Cricetulus griseus: one gene and its partner. The protein of the gene in region 2 interacts with the protein of the main gene of each other region in a biochemical or structural test. Links are inferred from orthologs where the notes say so. Each region holds a gene or a part of one and is shown on either strand. Other genes may lie near its edges.

Evidence for each region.
Region 1: the proteins of Hdac6 (region 2) and Tppp form a complex in vitro, tested with the Homo sapiens proteins (2 studies listed by BioGRID). The link is inferred for Cricetulus griseus from reciprocal best matches to the Homo sapiens genes HDAC6 and TPPP.

The regions. Positions count from the first base shown.
Region 1 is NC_048595.1:368,690,254-368,693,905, reverse strand, and holds part of Tppp (tubulin polymerization-promoting protein), read right to left. Parts: intron 211-3,652; coding exon 57-210; intron 1-56.
Region 2 is NC_048604.1:114,410,095-114,413,746, forward strand, and holds part of Hdac6 (histone deacetylase 6), read right to left. Parts: intron 3,497-3,652; coding exon 3,392-3,496; intron 3,272-3,391; coding exon 3,203-3,271; intron 1-3,202.

The DNA.
Region 1 (3,652 bases), on a different chromosome or scaffold from region 2:
CCCAAGGGCAGATGCAAGCAAGAGTACTAAGTCCCACCAGTGCTTCATCCCCTCACCGTGACACCAGAGATGACTGGTGATCGTCCCTCAATGAGCCGGTGCACCTCACGCACAGCCTCCTCGCTGCTCTTATCCTTGAACCGCTTCTTGGCCAGCTCCTCCAGCGCCTCCTGGAATTGCTCAAAAGTGATGGTCCTGCAGGACTTCCCTCTGTGGGTGACAAACTTTTTGAGTCCTCAGGTAGTATGCAGTCCTCCAGGACCAACCCCACATGTATACCATCCCTTCCTGCATTCTGCAGTGATCCCCACTGGCCATGGCCAAAAGTCACCAGCCACTGCCAACAGACTGGAAAGAATGAAGGAAGCATATTCTTTAAGAACTACAGAGTGTCAGGACTTTTCTGTCTGTTCCACAAGCGGCAGTGTGGTCTCTCCTGGGTGCAAGGGCAGAGGGAAAACCAGGAGAGAAGATCCTCTTATCTTTTCAGGGGACACCCTAGCCAGTCAAGGAGCAGGAGGGAACCCAGGCCTAAACCAGGGTTAGAAGTGGCCCAGGAGGAGCCTAAGGCTATGGTCATCACAGTAGGCAAGATTAGGAGGAGCTGTAACACCTGTCCTGCTCAGAGTCCTATGAGTGCACAGTGCCAAGCAGCCTGGTCAGCAGGATGGCGTGAAGTTGCAATGCTCACCCACCATGTGCACCCTGCCACGGGGGAGCATCCTAGATTCCCTGTCATTTCACAAAATCCTCCCTTCATAAAAAGTTATGAAGTTATTTATAGTAATTTTACTTTAAACCATTTTCAACTTGGCATTCACCCCCAACTAATTCAAATTAGTGAAGTTTTCGATGTTTTGACATAGTGTGAAGTCCTGCATGTTGCTGGGGCATTTTAGTCCAATGGCCTGAGATAAGCTACCTCTTATGGCCAGGCATGCCACTGACCCCAGCTGCAGTGCTACGAGTTCAGGACTTTCAAACAGTTGACTGACAAAATCCCAGTGGGGCTTCTATGACTGTCCGTCAGCATAGGTTCCAGAGCAGCCAGGATGAGTTTATGAAAACAAAAAGGTTGAAGGCCTGAGACCACACTAGTCTAAGACACCTTTCAAAGCCTCATGAAGGAGACAGTATGAGACAGACATACAGATCAGTGTATCTGGAGCCCACACAGGTGACTAACTTGAACAAGCTCAAGGAGAAAGGACTATTTCAAGAAATTACTAGAACAACTGCTACCTCTGCAAAATAAACCAACTAGGATCCACAGCAGGACTCCAGAGTCAACCTTCTCAAGCATATCTAGATAACCTGGGTGACCTTAGGGTGGGCAAGGTTTTCTTAGAAATGATGCCAAATCATCATGTTCAATAATAGAAAACAGGCAAACTGGACTTCAGAATATTAAAATCCATGTCCTTTCAAATGACACTGAAGATAAATACCACAGAGCTGAAAAAAAAATGCTTGGAACACACTAACTTGAAAAGGAGCTTGTATCTGAAATATGCAACTTAACAAGAAAATTTCAGCCGGGCAGGGGTGGTGCACGCCTTTAATCCCAGCACTTGGGAGGCAGAGGCAGGTGGATCTCTATGAGTTCGAGACCAGCCTGGTCTACAAGTGCTAGTTCCAGGACAGGCTCCAAAAGCTACACAGGGAAACCCTGTCTTGAAAAGCCAAAATAATTTTTTTAAAGAAAAAAAAAGAAAATTTCAAATGGGCCAAGTATTTGGACCAGATACCTCCCCAAAGAAAACCCACTGATGGGAAAACAGCTCACATGACAAGTCACCCATGAGAACAGCAGAGGTAATGGGGGAAATTGACCGCTGCAGGCTAAGGAGGAATGACATTGAGCCAGTCTTTCAGGAGAAATGAAGATTTAAGCTCATGTTAAACCCATTTGTGAATATTGTACAGATTTTCTTCAGTCATTCAAACTTGAGAAGCACCCAAATGTCCTTTAGCAGTGGCCCAATAAAGCATTCTGTGGACAGCAGTGTGAGGCTACACCAGTGACAACACAGTCACAAAGTGGACCCTTAGTGGCTGGGCTGAGGAACCAGATGTGAAAATACTACTGTTCCACACACCCTGAGTTTTTACTGGTGCCTACAAGAGTCTCACACTACACTAGTCCTGAACACATGGGGCATTCTACAAACAAATGGGAGAGCTGAGCCAATTACCCTTTGAGAAATGCACGGAACCCCATGTTGTAGACTGCACCTACTTCTCAGGAGACTGGGGAAGCCACGGAGGCATTACACTTGGATCGAGGACACAACACAGGAGCTAGAGTCCCACAGTGACACTGCGGATCCTAGAACTTTGTAGAACTGCCTGTGGTGCAGGTAATGGAATCTCAGTAGAAGCCTTGTGTCTTAGAGGGTGGGTTCTAGTCCTTCAGTGCTCTCAGCCCCAGTACTTACCAGCTACCTTTGACATACTGGGAGATTCAGGGCAGTTGAGCAGCTTGGCTTCACAGTCCAATGGTGCCTGGAGATGACAGCTTTTCCCTCTCTACTAGGACCTTGGGGGTGTGTTGCTCTAAGGCCCCTCAGGGCTGCTCTGTTTGTCCTGAGAAGTCAAAAGCGCTCTTGTCTCCTACTCCCAACCCTTCCTGGGCTGACATGAGGATGCCAGGCCTAATGACCAGCCTGGCAACCAACTGCTGGGGCACACAGCCCTTTCTGGGCTGCCTCGGCACCAGGCACCACCAGCATGAGTCACTGGGGGATGGGGTAACTGGAGGGACTCAGCCATCACAGGCCACATTCAGATAGAACTGGATGTTTGTTCTACTGGTACCAAGAAAACCTTTCTGGCCTATGTCCCCATAAATCTGTATTGTTGGGGAGAGGGGTCCCTGCCTTGGTTCCTAGTTCACAGGGAATTTCCCAGGAGACCCAGGCACTTCTTGAAGCAGAATCCCCAACTAGCTCTGGGAAAACAATGCCCATTTCTTCCTCACAAATGTGAAAACTGCAGGGCTCTCCTACACAGTGAGCCTATATCTAGACATCCCAGGACTGAGGGCTCTTCCTAGGGCTTGGCCTTCCCTGTCTTTGGTTCCCAAGCTGTCCAAAGCTGGCCTACAAGTGGGTCTCTGCTCAAATATATTTCAAGAGCCTGGGATTGCTTCCCAGGCCATGTCCCCATATGTGCAGTGCACCTTCTCAGTCCCTTGGGAACCCTGGTACCTGGATAGGCGGGTCAGGACCTAGCATCAGGCAACAGAGCCCTCTGAGGAAGGTCTACTCCTTTATGGCCAATACCACAAAACTACCACTCCCCACCTCACCTTTGGGCTTTCACAGATCCCCTAGTCCGGCCCATTCATCACCTTTGTGAAGAGGTCCCTGTCAAGGCTTGAGTAATAAGTAATGAAACTCGTAAGTGATGAAAGACTGGGGCATTCGGGACAAGACAGGGAGGCCTGGGCTTCTCAGTTCCTGGCATTGACAGAAGCTGTTGCTTCTGAAGTAACCACCAGCTAGATACCATTCAGACCGAGAAGGTTCGAGGGTGGAAAGATACTCCCTCCCCATACATGTGGTGGTCTGAAAGCAGCAAAGGACCTGGAAGGGATCCCCCTCACCCCCCAGGCAGTGAGAACCTCTAGTCCAGGATCCTGCCCTGCAGG
Region 2 (3,652 bases):
AGCACTCGGGAGGCTGAGGCAGGTGGATCTCTGTGAGTTCGAGACCAGCCTGGTCTATAAGAGCTAGTTCCAGGACAGCCTCCAAAGCCACAGAGAAACCCTGTCTCGAAAAACCAAAAAATAAAAAAATAAAAATAAAAATAAAATTAACTAAATAAAAGATGTGTACCCTCTACTCCCCCAAAAAAGAGGTATTCTTTTTTTCCCTGGTATTTACAAAATCCAACCTAATGGGCCTGGATCTTTCCCCACAGTCCCTAAACTTGAGATCTATATCAGCAGACATCCTCTGTTTCCATTCTAGGGAAATGCTTTTTAGGAACACTGATCTACAAATAGCACAGCACAGTAATCTCATGGCCTGAAGACCAGCCCTTCAATTTAAGGTATAAATAGCCAAAAGAAGACATTTGAGGAAAAGCACCGATACAAAAAGAAGAACCAAGAAGATAATTCAGTTAGCCTCAGAATGAAGACACATAACAACATGGAATAGAAGAAAACTTAAGGCACTTCTAATTCTTTTGTTGTTATTGGTGTTTATTTTTTGAGACAGGGTTTCTCAGTGTAGCCTTGGCTGTCCTAGAACTCACTCTGTAGCCCAGGCTGGCCTCAAACTCACAGAGATCTGCTTGCCTCTGCCTCCTGAGTGTGGTACCACAGGCCAGCTCTAATACCTTTTTTTTTCTTTTTCTTTTTTTTTTCAAGACAGGGTTTCCCTGTGGCTTTGGAGGCTGTCCTGGAAATAGCTCTTGTAGACCAGGATGGTCTCCAACTCACAGAGATCCACCTGCTTCTGCCTCCCGAGTGCTGGGACTAAAGGTGTATGCCACCACTACCCGGCTAATTCTTATTCTATAAAAAACAAGCTTAGGAATGAAAGGGTATAAAAAAACGAGAGAGAAAGAAAATGCTTGTGCCTATCAAAAGCATGTCTAGCTAGAGAGGGTAGCATCATGTCTTAGCACTGGGCAGGCTGAGGGAGAAGGGTCTCAAGTTGGAGGCCAGCCTGAACTACAGAGAATAAGATCAAATCCAGCTTGAGTTACATACACAGTAAGACCCTGTCTCAAAAGAAAAACAAAATCAGAGTGCATAATTCAGCGGGAGGACTTACAAACAGAATTAAGGCCATCTCTCAGGACACTGAGTAAAAGTAAAAAGAGATAGAAAAACAGGAAATAAGCCTAACAGGAGGAGAGATGTCAGCAGTTAAGGGGATTTTTGCTATTCCAAGAGGACCTGCATTTGATTCTCAGCACACATGGCAGCTTACAATTGTCTGTAAAGCAAGTTCCAAGGAATCCAATGCCCTTTTTCGGCTTCCGAGGGTACTAGGCATGCACACAGTGCACACATACATGCAGGCAAGACAGTCATTTTTAAGGAGTAAAGATTTCTTTTTAAAAAGCCACACAGGGCTGGGGATGTAGCTCAGTTGGTAGAATGTTTGCCTAGCATGCATGAAACCCTAAGTTAGCTCTCTAGTGTCATATAAACCAGGTCTGATGGCACATGGTATAATCCCAGCACTTAGGAGGTAGAGGCAGGAGTTCAAAGTAAGAAAATGCAGACCATCCTTTAGGATTGAGGGTTCAGAGCAGGAAGTCAGAACTGAAAAGGCAGAGAAGGGAAATAAAAATTAAATTAAAACTATAAGAATAATCCTAGACAGTTACTTACTTGCCCTGGCCCTGGGGTGTCAAAGGGAAATACCTCCTGTCCCCACTTAACAATAGGTCATCCTGAGCTAGAGACCTGGTCTCAAAAGTCAAATCAAAACAAAACAAAATCCCATAAAGGATCAAGCCAGGAGGTTTAACATCTAATAGGAGCCTGAGAGAGAACAGAGAAAATAAAGTAATTATCAAAGATCTAATATAAGAACATGTGCAAAGATAGAAGGTGTAAGGCTGCCAATGTAAAATGTCAGCCCACTGCTAAAGAGAAGTTAACAGGACCTACAATTCCTGTGGGATAACATATGGGAAAAAGAGAAAAGTCTAAAGCTCTTCAGAGAGCAAAACAGATAACTCAGAAAGAAGTGAAAAAGACAATTGTCAGCACCAAATGCTGGAAAATAGTAAAGCAATGTTTAAAGAACAAAGCATCTAGATGGGACCAAGGGCCACAAGAGCACAAGCAGATTCTATGGAATCAGTTGGATGGAAGGCCAGAGAAAACAACTACTATTTACAATATAATACCCCTAGTGTCAAGGACTTAATCATTTTCTACAGAAAGGATAAACTGTCACCCTTCTGGAGTAAAGTTTGGTAGCATATATCAGACCTTAAAGCATGTGGATCTGTCGGACTCAGCAATCCACTATTAGAAATTCATTATACAGATATACCTAAAGATGTAAGTTAAATATTTATAATACTATTCATAGTAGAATTGTCTAAAATAGAAAAAACTAGGAAGTATCTTAAATGTCCCAGGATTAAATGACCAGAAGTACAACAATGCAATGAAATACTCTACAGTCTTTACAAGGAATAAGATGCTTTTGTAGCATCAACATAGTAAATGTGTTCCCAATAAAGTTGACAATGAGCATATGGAAATTATCCCATTGGTATTATGTTATTAATAATAGTGAATATTTGCATATGCATAAAAATCTACGAGGCTTAAACATAAACTGTCAAGTTATTTTGATTTTGTTTATGTGTGTGGGTATGTGCATGCTATGGTATGTATATGGAAGTCAGAGGACCACTTACAGGACTTGGTTCTCTGTCCTTCTACCATGTGGGTGCTGGGGATCAAACTCAGGTTGTCAGGCAAAGTACCTTTACCTGCTGAGCCATCTTGCCAGCCCCCTATTTAACTTTAAAGATAGTCTGAAGTACTGTCATAATTAAAAATAAACAACGTTTTAATTTGAGGTCCACTCCAGCTTGGGGGTAAATTGTTGGACAAGACCTCCGAATACTTCCAAGTCAAATCCCCCCTCTTTTTACTTCTCTGCATGACTTGTAACCTGTAAGGATCAGTTTCACCAACAGTAAAATGGGAACTCCACAGTTCCTGCTTCAGAGTAATTAGGGACAGCAGACAACCAGGAAGCAGTACGTTTCCTTGTTCCAGGCTAACTCAATGAACGTGAATGCCTTTCCCTCCTTCCTAACTCCTACGGCTGGACCTGACAGAAGTAGTTAGTAGTCTGGTATTTAGAGTGGGACTTGTGATATACCTGGGGTCCTGGTCGAAGATGAACTGTGTTCCTTGACCATGGTGCACATCCCAGTCCACGATAAGAACCCTGTGAGCAGGAGAGAGGGTAGCTCTGTGCAAGGGAATCAAGTGAAATATAGAGGAGCAGCCAGGACCTCAGTACCCCCATTCCATGCTACCCCTATCCCATCTGTCATTTGCTGCTGACCTCTGAATGCGGTGCTTCTTTTGAGCATAGCGGGCAGCCACAGCCACGTGGTTGAACATGCAATACCCATCCATAAGACTGTGCTGGGCATGGTGTCCTGGAGGCCTAATCAGGAAAGGGAAGGTTACAGATTTGGGAGTCTTCCTCCCATGCTCCCAATTCTTCCAGCATAGATTCTGTAAATCTGCCAGCAACTGAGGAACTGTGGCTTTTGAAGCTTCAACTCCCAATCCAATGTTCTTTCATCAAAGGAAATTTAAA